Linked DNA regions of Struthio camelus. The protein of the gene in region 1 interacts with the protein of each later gene in a biochemical or structural test. Links are inferred from orthologs where the notes say so. Each region holds a gene or a part of one and is shown on either strand. Other genes may lie near its edges.

Evidence for each region.
Region 2: the proteins of UBE2D3 (region 1) and RNF146 are reported together in a solved structure, tested with the Homo sapiens proteins (2 studies listed by BioGRID, with this or other methods). The link is inferred for Struthio camelus from reciprocal best matches to the Homo sapiens genes UBE2D3 and RNF146.

What each region holds. Positions count from the first base shown.
Region 1 is NC_090945.1:26,887,182-26,896,821, forward strand, and holds the start of UBE2D3 (ubiquitin-conjugating enzyme E2 D3), read left to right. Parts: upstream 1-5,295; 5' UTR 5,296-5,714; coding exon 5,715-5,738; intron 5,739-9,640. UniProt on the Homo sapiens protein: Accepts ubiquitin from the E1 complex and catalyzes its covalent attachment to other proteins. In vitro catalyzes 'Lys-11'-, as well as 'Lys-48'-linked polyubiquitination.
Region 2 is NC_090944.1:69,251,983-69,262,383, forward strand, and holds the start of RNF146 (E3 ubiquitin-protein ligase RNF146), read left to right. Parts: upstream 1-5,854; 5' UTR 5,855-6,022; intron 6,023-6,445; exon of another isoform or gene 6,446-6,647; intron 6,648-10,401. UniProt on the Homo sapiens protein: E3 ubiquitin-protein ligase that specifically binds poly-ADP-ribosylated (PARsylated) proteins and mediates their ubiquitination and subsequent degradation. May regulate many important biological processes, such as cell survival and DNA damage response.

The DNA.
Region 1 (9,640 bases):
CCTTCACGCCCCTATTTTAAGTTGCTGTTTTGCCAAATATATAATCTATGTTTATTCACAGATGTAAAGAATTTGAGTTAGTAGTTGTGTGACAACAAACCTTTTCTTTTTTCAAAACAGGTATCGTAATTACACTCTGCTCATCTATGAGGTTTCATGCTTCAGTATCCATAGAGCTGAATCAGTACAGAAGACAACCATTCTTGGTGGCACAAACTGATGCTGACATGAAAGGAGTATCTCTTTCATTTAGATCAAATGGTAGTTTTGCTGGAAAAAAATGAATACTGTGTATGAATACTAATAAATGTCCTGTAGCATTTTTCAAAGATTCAGTTGTTAAGGTCTGTGAAAGCAGCATAATGAAGTCACCAATTTTCTTCTTCTAAAATAGCTTTTATTTTCCCTAAGGATTTCAAGGGAAGAGAAGAATCTTCTCCAACTGAAAGAAAACTGTTGTCAACACAAGCCTAAAAAAGTGTCTTAATGGTTTGAAACCATTTTAATGAACTGCTAAACAAAATCCTGAAGGCCAGAAGATTTTGTGGAGAATTTTGGTCTGTTCCTTTTGATCTAGGCTACTGAAGTATTTTGAATTCTTGCAGATGTCCATACGACCTTGTGTAAACTATGAAACCTTAGCAGGCCATTATTCAACAAAGTGCTCAAGATTTTCATTGGGACTTGTATGTGGGCTAAATATTAGATCTTACAACTCCCTGTAATTAGCAGCAATGACTTAAAATGGATTAAGGGACTCAGTATTTCGCCCCATGACCTAACAGTGAGATAGAAAGCACTACTTTAGAAAGATGGCATGTGGAATAGCTGGGAAATTGCTCTGGTGAGCAGAAGAAAAAAAGGGGGAGACGAAGGATTGCCAAACTGGAATAGAAGATAAAAAGCTAACTTTTTAATCTTATATTCCTTAAAAAGCTAACTGCTGCATACACTGGCCTTGGGCCAGACTCCGGATGAGGAAGGGTTCTCCTACCTCTTCTTCCTACTAAAAAGAGAAGTAATGGTTCCAGAGGTAAAGGCCAGGGAACTGAGCATGCAGTGCTAAGGGTGGTAGGATGCTGCTATGTCCTTGAAGGGGAGAAGCACCCACCTACACAGAAAGTGCTGCCAATCTTTTGAAATTAAAACATGGATCAGATGAAACCCAATGACATCATAAAACCTGTTTTTTTGTAGTGTCATGTAATGACACATAGATTGGCAAATGCAGCATTGTGTTGCGTTTAAAACAAAATCAATGGAACCACTTTGTTTTATCAGCTTTTCTCTGTGAGCTCACTCTTTACGGTTTCCATTGAATCAAATGGGTCCATAATAAGCTGAGTTTTTCTCAGATGAAAGATGGATTTGACTGCAAGTTTGATATACAATGATTGAAGAAAAACAAGTTGGGCCAGATGCTGAAGGGAAAATTGAGGCCTAGTCAGCTGCAATGTTCTATAATGTGTGTACCAAACAGAAGCTGTTGTTGTTTCTTCAGGCTCTTAGCTCTTTGTTTTCCAGTGGCAGAAGCTGTTGTCTTTTGTGTCCTCCAAACAGGAGCTAATAATCATCTACTGGATGGACTCATGAGAAGGGTGTCTTGGTTTTGTTGAAGTAATTTTTTTTCCCTAAAAAGCAAGAGCTTTTTGGAGATGCTTTGCAGCTTGTTTCTCCCTTTCCTCTCTGACATACTGACTTGTTATATAGAGGATGCTGCCTGGGGTCCAAGGTGCTAGGTTGCTCTACCTGTTTTGAAGACAGGTAGAATAGCGTGCACAAAGTGTAAATAAAGGCAGGTCTCAGGCAAGGGAAAGTGAAAATTTTATATTGACATGCAGCAAGCTAGACTAAGCTTTAAACTAAGGCTGGGCTGCTTCTCCCTCGAGTCTCCTCTGTCCTGAGAGGAAGGTGCTATAACAGCATATCAAGGCAATCTCCGTTCTTGCTTGCACTGCTGGACAGTCATAAAGAGCTGAAAGAGACTGGTAAATTCAGCCTTTAGAGGTTATTGACCACACAGAGCTCTGTAATGCCATGCTTAAAAAAGCAAGCATACAGAGCTCAAAAATAGAATTCAAGTCAGCTAGTCTGTTCTCAATACTTTTTGCAAACTGTTTATTCCTATGTACGTACTGAACAATTTTGCGTAATAAAGAAGATCTAACCCAACTCCACTAGTGTATGAGGATTAGACATGAATAATAGCTCTATTCAACCACTTCTGAGGATTAGCTTCAAAAATCAAATTAAAATGAAGCAAACCCAAATACACTGAGTAGTTCAATGGGAAGTTGCAGCACCCATGTTCAGCAACCCATCATCTTTGTCTCTCACATTTTATATTATCGGATGAAGTATCAATGTAAGTAGCACTATATTACACTTACTGTGTATGTTAAAGGTAAGAAACTATGTATGGCAGGTAAATATATTAAGGATACAAAACCTTACTTTATATGAGCATTCCTGCTGAAGTCAACAATTATTTATTTCCAAAAGTTGAAGGAAAAAATATGATTTTTATGTTAACAATTTGAGGAAAATGAGATGAGGGAGAGAAGTATAATGATCCGCAACAGGACTACGTTTGCTGTATCTTGTAGAAATGGCCACAGAACTGCATGCTTCTTGTTTTTCATAGCTACGTAGGTCACTATTTTTAATTTTTTGTCTCAAGTGAACTTAAAAGTAAGTATTTAAATAGAGGTATTTGTTTAATAAAAATAACCAATGAGCACAATGAACTATCAAGTGTTCGTCCAAAGAGGTATGCTAAATCTGGTATACAAAATATGCAAATCTATTTCCCAGCAATGGCTACATACTCAATACCTTTTAAATTCTCCTCGGGGTCAAATGCTAATAGAGATATTCATTTTAACATGTAACTGTTGACACGCACACAGACAAACTTGATTTACCAGATGAACAATTTCTGTTGGCTTAAATGAGCATGGAAAATTACACATTGTCAACAGTATGTTTGTGCAGTTCTTCATTCCTTTCATTATACAATAAAATGCTAATCAGAAGCCAGATCAAAACTCTTAATAGAGAGTAGTATTAGAGGTTATTAGTCTAAAATAATAATTACAAATGTAGAACTAAAATACTATTAAGTACTTAAATCTACTGAGATGACAAGCTAATGAAAAAACTCGTGAAGTTTGTAAGCAGTTTCAAAGACTGAGAAAGATATACTTGTGACAGAAACATATGCTTGTGATATGGAGGAGCTTAACAGTATCCCTAATCCAAATTAAGGAAGGAGCAATAAGGTGTTTTTCAGCACAATTCTCTATGAAGATGGTAAGAACATTAATGAAACAGTTCAGAGCTACTTTTCTTGAATACAGTGTTCAGTACTTTTAAAGTAGTAAGCAGAAGATGAAGACTACCCAAAGAAATTGTTAGGAGTGGATCAGGTAATCACAGAAAGATAGCTGCACTTTATAGGAATAAGACATTATTTTCTCTCTAGCCTACACATAATATGGATACTAAAGAACTGTGACAGTCCTACTACAGTACGATTCTGAAAATAAAACGGATTATTGCTCTCCCGATTCCCTGCTGGTTATTCTCAAATTTCATACTGCAAACTTTTTTACACCCTTTTTTTGAAGATGCGCCAATCCACTGATAATTAGCATCCTAGATAGCAAGAAAACTAACAGTAGAGCAATGAAGGCAATATAATGAACACAAACTGAATTCAGTGCAATCAATTTAGCTAATTATGTATTTATACTCCCTGGACAGCAACCATCATGTTTAATAATTCTATATATCCCTGCATTACAGCAGAAAGTCAGTCTAGCAATCTTATTTCTGCTTGTTACTTCACAAGTAGGAGTCTTTCATCACAGATTTCACTACATACATCTGCAAAGTTTTCTTGTTTAGTACAATAAAGAAAGGGCCGTGCCGAGTGTGGGTTCTTGACCCCTGCTACACAGAACAGAAAGCCTCCTCGGAGCTGGAAGCCCAGCAGAAGGTATCGCTGCTTTACGGTGACCAAGTAGGCCAACATCAAAGCAGCAACTACATGAGCAGCTCAGGCATCTCTGCTGGGCTGAATATGCCACTGATCTCGTCATGATAGCTAAAGTATTTGATGCCCCCAGTCCTTGTGCTGACAGCGTGTGTAACCGAATCTTTTAGTATTGTTTTTTCAATATACTGAGAACGTATGTGCACGCTGCTAAAAGCAACGCTTCAAACACCCTTACAGCCTCTCGCACCAGGCCTGCGTTCCTTGTTGACGCGTTTCTCTCCTGGGCCATCACAGGCTTTTGGCTCTTTTGTTAGCCTTTTCCCTTTGCTTTAGGCCCCGCTTTTCCTCCAAGGCACCCTCCTTGTGCCACTTCAAGGAGCTACCTACAGCCCCTCGAGGCAGGTGGGCGGTGGGCTGCCCACCGCACCTTCAAGCTGGTGCGGCAACTGGCACCAGAGCCCAGAACACCAGGACAGCTCGGGACAAGCGAGCTTTATTTTGCCACGTGGCCGACCTGCAGCCGAGCACAGGCCCGGGCACACGCGAGGGGACAGAGGGCGGCAGGGCAGGTGGGTGGGCGAGCGGCCCCCGACGCAGAGCCGCGGGCGGAACGAAGCCTCCCACTGGGCGGGGGGGCCAACGGCCGCCAACGGCCGCCGCGCGCCCCGCAACGTGCGCAACCGCCGCCCGCAGGGTGAGCAGCGGCAGCTCCCGGGGCCGCTCCCTGGGAGAAGCCCCGGCGGGGGATGCCTCGGCGCCCGCAGCCTCCCCGCCGCCCCCGCGGCCCTGCTCGCGGCAGCGGGCGGCGAGCGACGTCGAGGCGAGCGGCAGCGCGGAGGAATCCGAGCCGCCCCCGCCGCCGCCCAACGATGTAGGTCCGGCCGCGGCCGCCATCTTGTGCACGCGCGCAGCCACGGGGCGGGGACTTGTCGTAAGCGGTGCGCGCCGCAGCGCCCAGCAGCCGCCGAGGCGCCTGGGCCCGCGGCCGAGGTGCCTTAACGAAACCCCAGGGCCACCCTCCGCGGTGGGGGGACGCCATAAAGCGGCACCGGGAAGGCGCTGCCGTGGGGAGTTCCAGATCCTTCCCCCCTCCCCCCGGGTCCGGCGGCGGGGCGCATGCGTGCCTCTCGCGAGATCCCGCGGGGAGGGGGGGACACCGCGGGGAGGGGGACAAAGCGCTCAGAGCGCATGCGCGGGGGGGCTGCCCGGTCGCGGAGGCCGTTAGCGCGCCCCCTACCCCCGTTCCGCTCCCTGGCCCTGGGTGGGGGGGCAGCGCCCCGCCCCGCCCCGCCCCGCCCCGCCCCGCCCGGCTGCGAGCGCCGCCCCCGGCCTCCGCCTCTCGGGGCGGGTGCGCGCGGGGCTGGGCTCTGGCGCTCTCGGTGGCGCTGGCGTTTGCCTCGGCTCGGCTCCCTCCCTCTCTCCCTCCCCCCCGGCGGCGCGGGCGCGGGCGCGGCGCGGCGCGCTCCCGTCAGCCTCTACCGGCCACCGGCCGCCGTCTGCCCGCAGTCAGGCTCCGCGCGGCCGCCGCGCTCCGGTCGGGCGCCCCCCTCGGCTGTTTCCGGAGGAAGGAGAAGCGCAGCTGCCCCCACCCCCCTTCTCCGCCTTCCTCCCCCTCCTCCTCCTCTCTCGCTCCCTCCCTCCCGGCCCCCCCTCGGCGCGAGCGGAGCGCGGAGTCACCGCGGCGCACAGACGGGCCCGGCGGCACTCGCACACAATGGCGCTGAAACGCATCAACAAGGTGAGCGCCGCGCCGCGTTTCTCCCCTCTTCCCTCCCCGCCGCTTTGGTTTTTCTTCCTCCCCCCCTCCCCGGCGGAGCGGGGCACGGATGCGCGGCCCGCAGGGGCGGGAGGGCCGCGGGGCCGCCGTTGCGGGCCGGGCAGCGGCCGTCTCCTTCCGGCGAGGCCGCGGTGCTGGCGCGGAGGGGAGGCCGCTCTCCGCGGCCCTTCCTCCCGGCCCTGGCGCTCCCCTCGGAGGTGGCCGGCGGCCTTGCGCGGGGGGTCGGTTGGGGCCGGGGCCCGGGCGGCGCCGCCGCTTCCTCGGCGGCGAGAGGCTGCTCCGGGACGCTCAAATGTCAGCGCCGCCCGGAGCCAGCCCGGCGCGGCCGCGGTGCCGGCGCCGCTGCCCCTCCGCCGTCGTTCGCCCGGATCGGGGCCGTATTTGTGTCGCGGAGGGGCTCTGTGGCCGATTGCGGCCCTCCCCGGGGCAGGGAGTGGGCCTCTCGGGCTGGTGTTTCTCCCCCGGCGTGTAACTTCTTTCCCGCATTGTAAGATGGCGGCGGGTTTGCCTAGTTCAGGCTCTTTCCGGGATCTCTCGCTTTCTGCAATAACATGACACACACACGTCTGCACTCCCGTCAACTCCCGTGCAGCTGCCGCCGAGCGATATTGTTCCAGCCCCGCTTCCCCCTCGCAGCCCGCTCTCCCCTCGCGCCCCCGAGGAGCCGCTTTTTCGCCTCGGCCCTGCCTTGGCGAGGGGCGGAAGTGTTTTGTGTGATGTGCTGCGAGGGTTTGTTGTTGCACAATCGGGCCGGGTGGAGTAACTTCACAGCTAACTCGGAAAAAATGTCGAGGTGATGAAAGTTTAAACCTCTTGCAGGGGAGAAGGTTACAGACATGAGGTTGTGCATGGGCAACCTGACGGTTCTCCTTGGTGCCAGTTGTGGACTGTGCAGGTTTAGTGAGAGCGCTTCCAGTTTGTAAATCACTGGGCTGTAATTACAAACGTGATGAAAGCACGGCGGCTTCACCGTGACATCGCTGTTGATCTGTACCTACGCATAAGCTATCTTGAACGTTTAAATATTTCAAGAACTGAGAGGAGCTTCTTGGTCATCTCATAGTCTGCCAAGATGGCAGAAAGCCATAGTGTCTTGAAATCGGTGAACTAAACTTCGGTGCATCAAACGCCTTTTATATGCGGTGCGTACAGCTCATCGCCTTTTACTCTGATTTCGTGTCTTTGGGGTAGTGTTTATAGGCATCTTTTAGTCGAACTGAGTCAAAGTGAGGTAGTGTATTAATGTTAAAGGATAATTACATTATCCCTAAAAATATAAACTCTCCTCTGGACTATTATTAGCTAAAAGAATTGTCTTCGTATTACAGCTGCACTCTCACAAGAATTCCAAAACAATTCCTTTTGAATCTGACATCAGAACTTGTTCCCTCTATTAGTGGATGATATCACTTGAGTTGAAACACAGCTAGGATACTCCCTGGTATGCTTTGTCAAGTTATGCTTATGAAATGCCTTCAGGCTTCTGCAGGTAAGAATTTATTGTCAAATGTAAGCCAAAGCAAACCCTCACGTAGTAATCTGATGGTTGAAACCGTAAAATGATTCGGGATAACTTTTGAATCAATACGTCATCTCTTTGCCTTCAGCATTTTGGCCTGTCTGTTGTGTGCAGTCTCTTGTTCTGTGTTGGTCCTTATGATCCACAGCAGTGTGTACTAGCACGCTTCTTCCTTTACCCAGTGCCAGCATTTAGGATTAGTGGGATGGATTTTTTTTTCGTTTTTGAAGTTGCTATTTTTAATTGATTTAATCACACCATGCTACAAGACATGCTTCTAAATTCACATGCGGTTTACAGTGTTGATTTTGTATTTGTTAGCCTGCAAAGTCAAAATGATGATATGTTGATAGATTGAAACCATTACTTGCAAGCTGCTTTATTCCAAAGTATGCTTTCTGATACAAATATTCACCGGGATTGAGGCTAGAATCCAAAAATAGGAGGACCAATTTTGTAATGAGGTTGTTGTGAATTTAGAGTCTAATCTTGCCAACCGGTAAGGCCAAGAGAATTGCACTCTGTCACTGGTGAGCTGGGATCCCCTGTCTTCCAGTAGTAAGGTCACAGATCAGACCTTGAAACTCTGTGCTTCCTTGTAGTACGTTGTTGGCGCTAAACCAGAACAGGCTAAAGAGAGACCAGGACCTCACAACATTGTAATCACAAATAGCTGATTTAGTCTGACTTTCAGTATTATCCGTCAGGGCTAGAATTCATTGTCTCGTGCAAAAGATGACACCCCAAATGTACTGGTGGAGGTATATTCAGTCTTTTTGACTCTTTATGGACTGGCATTTCAAGCAAAATAAAATTCTTTGAAAGTCTAATTTATCAGATATAATAAATTGTATTAGAATGTGTAAATTTAATCTGAAGTATGTTATACATTCAGAATATAAGTATCCCCTACTTAAAGTATAACTGACAAACTTGAGTTTTGACTTGGGAATTAAAGTACATGAGTATTCATGTATTATATATGAGACTATCTACTGCTGGAATACGCTATAACACTCTCTTCAAACTGAAATAGTTGTCAGGTATATAGCCAGTCCCAGAAAGATTATATTATGCTGGATCACAGCTTTACATCCGTGCCGCTGCCCTGAGGGTAACTGGCAAATAATGGCAAAGCTCTGCTTTTATTGATATGGTTTGCTTTGCGAGAGGGTAGCGGTTGTTTTATTATACCAATAAAGTGCTTTTGCCATGGAATAGTCTGAAAACAACATCTTAATTTTAACTATATCCTTTACTGAACACGAAGTTTTACAGAAACAGGATAAAGGCAATGGAACAAATTAATTTATCAGCTTCGTATAAATACATGATACCTGCTTGTTGCACCTTGTCTTAGTCTCAAGTGTTGAGTGGTACCTGCTAAACGCACGTTCCATCATTGCTGCAGTGTGTTGGCACTTCCGGTTTGAATTGCCATTCAAATTCCGGTTCCATCTCTGCAGTAGAAAAAACAAGAACTCTTCTGTAGAAGAAGTAGGAAATCTGGAATGCATAAAACTGATAAAACTTGGGGAGGTTTCATCATTGATACACACATCCATTTCATCATCATTGTTGTACGCATCGATTGGAGTGAAGCAGTATAAAAGGCCTAAATTATGATCTTGATAGGATAAAAATAGATTGTGAACTAACAAATACAGGAGATGTATGTATGAAATGTCTCATCTGCAAAATGCCTGTTTTAAGAAGACTTGTGCCTGCTGTGTTTTGTGTCTACTTGGTCAAACATAGTACAGGTCAGCATCGTTAAGCAGAGGCGTTCTATTAGAAAAGCTGAGGTGGAGTTGGCATACTGGAAGCTAAAGGCTGAAGGTGGCAAAAACATTGTTTATCTTACATTTTTATATTTTTTCAAAATCTTTTTTATCTTCTATTTTTATCTATGTACAGACAGAGGCTTCCATTGACAGTCATAGAGTGCAGTCTAAATAACAGTTTTCCTCAAGTTTACAACCTCTAGCACTATTCCTAGATTATACGATTAAATGCAACTTTACCTACTCCCCCAAATAATGAGAAATGCTACTAACCCTGGAGGCATTCACAATATCTTTCAGAGATTGGATGTAGTATATGGTGATGAAGGCAGTGTGGAAATCTGCATTAGTTTAACCAAAGTTGTAGCTTTTGTAAAGTTGATTCAGTTAAAATGTTATAAAACTACTTACTGCGCTTGTTTTGCTTTGAAGTATTATTTTCTTTTCAACTTGGAGAGGACAACTCTTAAAAAATATATTTTTTAAAATTAAAAAAATAACTAAAGCCATTGGGTGCAGCTAAGTTTTCTTCTCTGGATGGAAACCTACGATGCTTAGTT
Region 2 (10,401 bases), on another chromosome or scaffold:
GCTTATGGATGCTATTTCCCTTCAGTGAATTTGTTAATTAAACTCTAAGATATAACAGGCAGTGCAGCACTACTGATTAATGCATGCCTCAAATCCTCAGTGAAATCCTGTCAGCTCAGAGTTCATGCCATTAAGAAATGCATTATTCCGTTCTATACTGCCATGTTGTCTGAAAACACTTCAGAAAATGGATGTCAAAGCAGGTGATACTGCATGTTTCCTATCTGCAATACCATCCTGGTGTCTACTGTCCCATCCTGAGTGAACTTAAGGATGAGAGTAATTAAAATAGCAATTATAACATTCAAGGTGGTGTGCTTACTTTTAATTAACATTTCTTTCTAAGACGTGGTACTAACAACTCTCTCTTATTTTCTCTCTTTAGGGAGAAAACGCTGGTGAATCCATAGAAAGAAACTCCTTCTCACATACATTTATTTAGCCTATGTTATCGACTTTTAAAGATTCAAAAAAACATTAAGAAGCACTATTGCATGTGAGTGCTATTTCAATTGCATAGCTGAAAAGTGCATTACAAGCCTGACCTAATCCTGCATTCCTTGTGATATCAACCAGCAAAGACATCACACTGGGAGATCTAAATTTACAAAGAATGAGAGGCTAGACTTCAAGCAATAACATTTAACCCAGTTATCTTCTTAACACCATATTGTTATTCCTTCCTCAAGAGACAAAGAGATGCTGCCACACTACACGGTTACCTGTTGTAGCCAACACGAACACTTCTGTGTGATATATATATGCAACAAGAGAAAAAAGATTTAACTGTGAAATTGTGTCTGGAAATCTTGCTCATGTGACCCTTCTCGCACAAGCAAACCTTAAAGGACATGTTAATCCAGAGATGTTTTAAATTTGAATTGAAAACTTCCAGACTAAAACATTATTATCTTAACTGGAAAGCGAAAATATCTTCACTTCAGTTGTTGAACTGTTTCACTGCATAGCATGAAGTACTCTTGGCTCTTTTTTAAAATAATAACAAAACCATTTGACTTGTAGATCAAGACACTTTGGTGCTTGTTAGCTGGTACATGCTTCGCTAGAACACTTTCATCTCCTAAAGTTGCAATGTTACCAGGTCCTAACAAGAGCTCCAGAGAGGGAGCTTTCCTGAGTTGCATCAGCCTTCTAAAGGATTCAGAAGCAGAATTTTTCTCAGATGCTAAAATTCACATTGATCAATTTTTAGGAGAAAACATTTTTATGAAGTTTGTTTTGGCTGTTCTTTGCTAGTCTGTTCTATAATTTTCTTACTTTATTTTTTATTTTGCTATTTTACCTATTTTTATTCCTTTTGCTTTCTACAGGAGAAATTGTTGTAATTTGTGCTATTCTAGCATTCAGAAAGTCTACTTGTAAAATGAATAACATGCCCTCTAGTGTAAAAGAAGCTGCGTGCACAGCAATTACGATATTTCACGTGGGTATAACAAAAACTATAGGACTATACTTCCAATTTTTCTGTCTCCTTAAAGACTTGTATGTTCTACTGAGAGCTCACGCACAGGTCTGATATATAAAGTTTGGGGACTATGCTAACTTTCCAACAAGTGGTGGATGCTTTAAAGAGTTTCAGTAGAGAATTCCTCTTTTTAAATATCACCCTGAGCTACAGGCCTCACTAGTGTGCAATTTCCCAGGAAACATCAGTGCAGAACCACTCAGCAAGTTTTGCTATTGATTACAATAGGATCAGGGCTTGGAGTACAACAACTACTAGCTTTAATCGTCAGCTAGGAGTCTGATCAGTGCCCTAGCTGGATCAGGAGAGACAGCAGCACCTCTGTGCTCTACCAAAAGTGTTTTGATGAGCTTAGCTTCCCAGCAGTTACCATATACCATCTAGTGATACCAAAGGAAACCATAATTTGTAATTCATTAATCTTTAAATGAAACATATAGTAGGCATTTTGCATTCCTTTTACTAAAATAAAAGGTAGTCATATGTGCTATCTCCTATGACTAATATTTTCCATTTCTCAAGAATCTTGACATGTATTAGTTTTTGAAAGGATTCAGCTTCTGAAGATGTACGATTATATAAGAATATCAGCTTTAATTAAAGTTAAAACAAAGTTTCTGCCTTATAGCTAGAGAATTACATACAAAATTATAATCTTAGAGATGTAAAACTCAGGGACTAAATTTAAAGAAACCCAAAACCTAACCTTACTATTTTTTAAAACTTCAAGATTTTGAACATCCTGCATCATGTTTTTTTTAAATATTAAGTTAATAGTGTCTGTTGATGGGGAGGAAGTCAGAGAGAGAGAGAGAGAGAGAGAGAGAGAGAGAGATGATTCTGACAGCTGGGATAACGGCAGAAGACAATGTTATGCTATGTGGAATTTTGCTGCCACTAAATGAAAGCAAAACCATCAAGATTTTTTCCTGGGAATTTGCAGACAGAAAGGGTACTGATCCAATGAAAGCCACAGACCAAAAGAACTGAGGAACACAATTCACCCTCACCTCTTCTCTTTTCCCAGTTCTCCTCCTCAGCACTATTCAACTTTCTATTTGTAAAGCCAAATGGGATTTTCAGCACAGACCTAAACAGCACAGACCTCCGAAAACTGTTACACAGAAGTGTATTTGGCACTGGTTGCTACATATCTAGGTTATGTAAGCAAAATACAGACATTACATGAAGTACACTAGTTGGATTTTCATAGGCCGATTGTCGCCTTAACACTTTGTTTTCAACCTACAAATAGTGACTAGAAATCAGTTTAGCTACAACTCAGCAAGACTGTAAGTGTAGATGGATGAGGCAGACATGAATTTGCATAGTTTCAGTCAAAGTGAAAAACTACTTGTAAACCCAAGACTATACTTTGGACTCGTGTTGATCAACCTACAAGTCTGCCAGGCCCTTTTGCACATCACCAGAACTGCAATTGCAATTCAAAGCAAATGTAATTTTGTCTCACTGATAGCATCTTGGGCACTGCTTTTACACCATTTGCCAGTGAATGCTCTAGAGGGCCAGGACTGTCAGGTGCCAGGGCGAGCAAATGACAGCGATAGTCTAATATTGGCTTCACACAAGAGAATTCTCTGCCTAGCTGAACTGGCTGTGGGCCACTTTGTACTGTAAGCATGCTTAAAACTTGTAGGACAAGGGACAAGCTTGTGTCACTGGCTGTAAAAACTAAATATATAATTAAAAAATATTCTAGAAATTGTCCATGTATTAGTCAATCTTCAATGCCACGAAAAATAAAAAAAAAAAAATCACCTTAATGAAAATGCTAATGTAACATGGGGATTCCGTGTTAGGCAATAGCTTAGAGGAAAGGAAAGCACCGAGTGATAAGCAATAGCAGTTCATAAAGCAAATACGTTATTTAAACAAGACCAGGATTCGCTTTTAATGTAATGACAGATTCGGAGCTCAGTCTTCTACCCCTCCGCTGGCTGCTAGCGCAAAACAGCCAAAAGTACGTTTGGACCTCAGTGGCACATTGCCAACTTTACATCTTTCTCTGTTCAGCACAGAGGGTGCGTTGAAGGTGCAGAAATGCGGAATGGGGGGAATGACACCACACATCATACGCTCCTTCACTGCTAGTGCAACTTGGAGCAGTTCTGAGGTTCTCCTCACTAACTCCCAAATCACAGCAGAAGGAAACTGTTTTCTCCTGTCTCTCCTAAACTGTGGAAGTGCAGTGAGGATTGAGACCTTAGTGACTATAACACATTGTCATATCAGCAATTCTATACAGTATCACATACTTTTGAAGAAGCTGGAAAAATACTGGATAAATAGAGACACTGAAACACTGAAATATGGATCAACAGTTGTCCATTGTCAAAGTATCTTCAAAAAATTAGTGGTGGAACCTTAGAAATTTAACAGGGGAAGTGGTGTCTTTTAAGGATTAGTCTGCTCAGCCTTTACTTTTCCATCCACTGTACTCATAAATAATTTAGTGGCAAGCACCAGACATCAATTCCAGATTGATTACATTGTAGATAACGGCAAAAAAAAAAAAAAAAAAAAAAGAGAGAGTGCAGAACTGCAAAGCAAGCAGAAGCAGACAGATATAGCTGAGGTGGTTTCAGTTATAACAGACAGGTATAAACTAATACATGGTTGGAAAAACATCTTTGGAATACATGGGATGTTTTCATGCCAAAAGCAGTAGTACAGAAAAAGACGGGCAAAAAATACATATTCTGACTGAAATAGAAGTCAATAATAGCAATTGATAATAGCGCAGGTAAAATTTTAGGAGGGATAATCTTAACAGATCTTAAGCAGATCATTTTTGATCCCCTTATTCCAATCTATTCAACTAGGTACTTTTGTTTATCTCTTTAGGCCAGCAGCATGTAATGCACTTAACTCTTTGGTTACTGCCTTTGGCACAACGTGATATTTACTTTAACTACTATGCTTGCTCCATAATTCATGCAGCATAAAGTAAAATTTTGCATTCATTAGTGCACTTTCTCAAATTGACCTGCAGCTGCAGTAAGCTGTCATGAACCTATCAAAACGCACCTATGGATTTTCTTTTTTAAAAGTACAGTTTTCCGAGATGCTTCTTCTCTTATGAACCTGAATGCAATGAGAGTAGCTTTGCTTCAACTCTTTAGATCCCTTAAGAATCCAGACTTACTTTCCTTTTTTAGGTCAGATTCCAATTGAAACCAATGGGAATTTGACCTCAGTAACTTCAACAGGATCAAGGTCTGGCTAGTCAAAGGATTAAGCCTATTGTTGCTGAACAAACTCACTGCCAAAAGGTTTTATTTTCTTTTTTTTTAAACCTCTATTATTTGACTCAGCCTCACAAGGTCCTCCTTAAATAGCAGTACAGGTTGCCACATAAACGTGTCCTTGAATACAATTATGTCACTTCTGTTAAATGCAGTGCTAATTATAGACTCCTAAGAGTTTGGTGGTTTAAAAAATACACTTTTTTTTAGTATTCCAGATTAAATTTAGAATTTAATACTCTTAGATTTTTGATCTTTGTTATGTTCTCTGGTGTCTGTGACTTCTGGGAGTTGAAGTATCATCCAAAACCGCAGCCAAACACCACTTCCAGGTGTTCTACCAAGCTCTGACTACCTAAGTTCCCGCATTTTGTCAGTTCTGCCTCCGCGCGCAGCGACTGCTTTGACACACAGCCCCTGATCCCCTCAAAACGAATACCGTTCCAACTTAAAGGACGTGTGGATTATCTCCTCTCACCAAGGTTCAGTTGCTTGCTGCGGGCAACAATTCCTGAGGGATTATTTTTGCAGGCCAGCCCCTCGCACTTAGGCCCGGGCCAGGCCACAGAGGAGCACCCACCCGCGTCTAGCAGGTCCCGTGCTACCTGCCGCAGACCCTCGCCGCAGAGCAGCCGGCCCACGGCCCAGGGCGCTGCCTGCGGCGCAAATCCTGGGCCACTCGAGGCTGTGACTCGGCCACGCTGCCCGACCCCTGGTATTTCTGGGCAAACGAGCCGCACGGGCCGAGCTCACGGCCCGGGGAAGGCCAGCCGGCCCCTGCCCCGTCGGCTCCTTGGCCTCCCCGGCGAGCACAGCGCCCGCTCAGAGGGGCCTTCGGGTCCCACAACCCTGCACCAGCCCCTCCGCTCCCGCGTCTCCCCCGCTGCCGCGCCCCAGCCGCGACCCTCGGGCCTGCCGAGCGCACCGGGCCCGCACCTGCCCCGCCGGGCCCACCGGGCGCGGCCCCTGCCCAGGCCGGGGGCGGCGCGGCCGCCGCTGCCATGGCACCGCCGCGGGGGCGGGGCGGCGCCACGGCGTGGCGTCACGGGAGCGCGCCGCGCGTCCCCCCCCCCCCGCCTCACCGGGGCGCGCGGCGCGGCCCCTCCCCCCGCGGCGTCACAGTGGCGCGTTCGGCGCTTCCCTCTCTCCCCCCCCCCCCCGCGCGTGACGTCGGCGCGTCCCGCTCGCCCGGCGGCGGGGGCCGGAGGAGGCGGCAGGTGACGGCGGCGGCGCCTGGGAGCGGGCTGAGCGGCGCGAGCCGGCCCGGCGGGTGAGTCCGTGGCGGCGCCGCCGCGTTCCGACGCCAACGGCCGCGAGCGCGGAGGGAGGGGGAGCAACGGTCGCTCCGCCAGCCCCCCTCGCCCCGCGGCCGACCGCCCGGGGCGGGGGGCGGCGCTGCTCCCTCCTCCGCCGGCGGCTCTCCCCGCTCCGGCGAGGGAAAGGGCGGGCGGGGGGCGGACGTCGCGGCCTGCCCGCTTCCGTCGGCGGGCGGGCGCCGCCGCTGGACAAAAGGCCCGAGAGCGCGGCGGCGGCGCGGGGCCGGGGAGGGGGGGACCCGGCGGCGCTGAGGAGCCGGCCCCGCCCGCGGGGGAGGGGCGGCGGGCACGCCCGGGCCCGGGCCTGTGTTATTGTTTGGGCGAGAGCAGGAGCAGCGTCCGCCGCCTGCCCCCGCCCGCCGCCGGCGCGTCACGTGAGGGGTGTTTTGGGCCGCGGTGGCGCAGGGTGTCCAGAGCGGCCTCGTCCGCCCTGCCCGAGCCGGGCCTTGCGGCGGCGGCGGCGGCCGGCCGGGACACCGCGCGGATCCGCCTCCGCGCGGCAGACGGCGGCGCGCTGCGAGGAGCCGGGAGGTGGCCCCGCTGGGCGCCGCCGGGCTCGCCCCACCTGCTGCCCGTGCTGTAAGTCCCCGCCGTGTCCCCTAAGCCGCCGCTTCGCCGGGCTCTGGCGGCGAGCGGGGGGCCTCGTCCGGCGGACGCTTTTTGGCCTTAACTTTGCCCTCAGGGAGATGACAGTCTTAAATCTGTGTAAAATGAAGTGCTTGATGTGTGCAGCATCAGGGCCTCAATTCCCGGGTTTCATTTTGTTCAGTAACAAAATAGGTCAGGAACGCGCGCTCTAACTTTACGTGTTGCAGAATCCCTCGACCAGAAGAGCCATGTGTGGTGTTTTAAATAAATCTGTGGCATGTGTTCTCACTCTTCTTGCAAAATGTCTTTGCTCTAGCCGGGTTACTTTCATTACCGTAATGAGCTTTGTGAAACTAGAATAGAAATCATATGAATATTCTTAGGAGTACAGTAGGAAGCACATAAAAAGAGGTATGCAGTGGTTTTTAATGGAAGTGCTTTTGTTTCTTTGTGCTTGATGGTCTGGGCTCTCGTATTTGATTGCATCCTTTTAGAGTGTTTAAATGGGACATGAAAATAGGTCCAGCTCTTGCTGCAATACATATTGCCACCACTGAAGAATTATTACAAAATATTTTGTAAATAAGAGTTTTCATACAAACAGAGTAGCAGTGCGCATCAGAATGGTCGAAAACGTGGAATTTCACAATTAAAATAAAACCCGATAAAAGTTTGTGCGTGTGTGTCTCAGGATAACCCTTGTGTTATATGGACTAGAAATACTGTAGGATTTGTTATTGGTATTTGTAGTATGCAAGTATACATAGAAGAATTACAAGCAGGAGTAGGGAGTAGAGCTTTAAACTGTCTTGATCGTCAGATTTGTAATACTAAAAATACAGTCCTTCTGCATTGTTAGCTGCTCCCTGTGTTCTCAGTGGACTAACTAATTGTGTTTTTAGAGACACTTTCAGGACTAGTTTTATCAAAAACGAACTGTTGTAATAGTATTGAGTATGTAGTGAAGTCTGAATTTTGATTCAGTTGTTTCGAGTAATCTTAAATACTGAACTTTTGCAGAAACTTGCTTTATTGTCTTGTATGGTTAATATTGTGGTTCCTTTCCAGCTGAATTAAAGCACCAGTTTAAATTGCTGTAATGCAGAATTTGTGCTAAGTGAAAGAAAAAGTTGTGTTCTTTTTGTTTCCCTAAAAATATTCTGCATCAATTTAGATGTAATTGAATTGTCATTTACTTAGAGAGATGGAACTGCAGTATTTTTAAAGACTATTAAACAATGAACTCCTGTAATTGGTGGGGAAAACGTCTTTTTATTAGAATTGATTTCTGCCCCCCCCCCGCATGTTAATTGAGTCTAAAGCTGTTCTTGTACTTGCCTTCTGTTCCTGAAGCATCGATCAATTGAGACAAACCTATTTCTGCTTGGTTTTCATACAGGAATTTTGATACAATATCATTTTATTTCTGAGTGGAATCTATTAGATATATTGAAATATAATATATGATCAAAATTCAGAATCAGTGTTCCCGTTGCAGCATAGCAGGAGGAATTCATTTGGAATAAATACATGGCAATTTCATACCAAAACAGTTGACTGTTCTGCACTTTGATTTTTTTTTTTTTGTGATTCAGTTCCAAATGCGTATATAAGGTTTTTAATTAGCAGATCACAGGCTCCTTAAAATCTCATCTCATCAGTAATTCCTGAAGATTTTCTTTGACTAAGTTTCCGCAGATACAAAAAAGTGACTGGCCATGAATAGGAAACAGTGAGGTGGTTTATCTGTTGTGCTATCAAATGCCCAGTGACAGATAAAAAAAAAAAAAAATCTGATAGGCTCAGGAGCTTGAGCTGATAGTATATCGACAGTAACAGATTTTCAGATAGGAGGATGATTTCCCTTTTAGAAAACAACCATGTTTTTTCTTTCCTTCCACAGTATTTGTGTGGCTTGTGGTGACTTGTAAGGAGGAGGGCAGTATTCTGTGATATTCTTCCCCTGCTGTGCCCCCTGCCCCCTTGACATGTGAGTTAGGGAGCTTGCTGAAAATTTGAAGTGGTTATTTGCAGCAGCTTCTTTACTTTTCTGAAATAATGGTGCCGCTATTGAGTTTTCAAACTATGGGGAAAAGCGATGAATTTGTGATAACTACTGCAGAATCATCTGTACGATGTTGCTGATTTTATGAAGTCGTCTATCATTTGCTATAGGATTTAAATAACTGTCTTTGGCAAGCAAGAAGCTAGTTTTGTTTCACTTTACCAATATGTGCATTTTGGGTTTTTTAGAGGAGAAGGGGCTAGCTTATTTAAATAGAGCTAAGCTTTTATTTACAGAGAAAGTTTCTTGCTCTTTTTTAGGTCTGTAGATAACATTACATTTTCATTTAGAAGTTTGCTTCTTAAATATGAAAGTTTCCGGTTTTTATTGTTGTTTTTTCCTGTCACTCTAGTTTCCAAAGTAATAGAAAAGAGAAAAAAATGTCTTGGGTCTGCTTGTTTACTGAAAATCTGATGGGTGACTGAACTGGCAAGCAGTGGTTTCATGCCATCTTGGCCTAGTAAAAGCATGACTTTTTCCTATCACCTCAAAATGATTTGAGGTCTGTCTTAAGGAAGTTCACCACTTCCAAAATCTTAAATTTGTGAGGAAGGAAGAAGCTGACGTGACTTCTCCTGGTCAGCATCCTGAGCGACTTTCAGGGGTGCATAGAGACTAGCTAAAACACTTAAGCGTGAGTTTGGGAGCAGTTGTTGCCCAGTCAGTAGCACCAAGTTTAATTTCTTGGATGTTGCTCCTGACCAGTGGGGTTCTCCCTAGTCTGTTGTGTGTTGAATGAAGGCTTTCAACAGCAGGACATGAGAGAACTTACGGATTTAGTGATTGTGCATGAGGAAGGGGTTCTTGCAGACCGCTTCAGATAGCGTAACTTCTCATACTACGTGCTTTTCTAAAGCAGACAGAAAACTAATTACTGGGTATAGAACACAGCTCTTACCCACTGAACTTTAAAGGAGTCAGAGTTCAGGATGGGGTGTGTGTATAACGGCAAGTGTCTTTTATCCTCTTTAGTAAACTTCTCAAGACTGGCTCATTAAATAAATAACAATTTAATGAAATGTGGAGGTTACCTGAAGTCAGTTTGTGAACTAGTTCTTTTTAAGAGTTATACAGCAATTAGAAAGTTGCCTTACTGTAGTCATATAATTATACCCTAATTGGATTCCTCTGGGTATAATTACATGCCTTGAATATGTGCGCACATTTTTATTTCCTAAGAAATATGCCAAAGTTGACCCAGCTTCTTTCTCACGTTAACATTTGCTTGTGTGATGTGCTACCCCTAACAGTGGATTGTACGAGGTAGTCGATAAAAGGCTTCTAGTAATACCTACAGAAGTAAAAGAAGGCCAGCATCTAAGATGAAGGACTAAACACCACACCCACACCATCAAGCTTGTTGCAGCTGTCTCTTTGATCGTAGCAAATGCCCTAACCAGTCTGAGTGGATTAGTAGAGCCAAAATCTTAATGTGATTGCAGCTCTTAATTTTAGATTGATGTGTGAAGAAAGGGGAGGTCACTTGAATGATGAGAGGAGAATCTTAACCCTTTTAAAAAGGTGTTGGGGCAAATGGGTAGGCATGTTAATGTTGCATTTTTTTCCTTAGGAACTCCTTCCAAAAATAGCGACACTGAATGCTACGTGGAAGTGAGCTATATAAAAATATTTTGAGTAATGTATCTCTCACTGAAGTCATCTGAAAAATTTTCGTCTGCT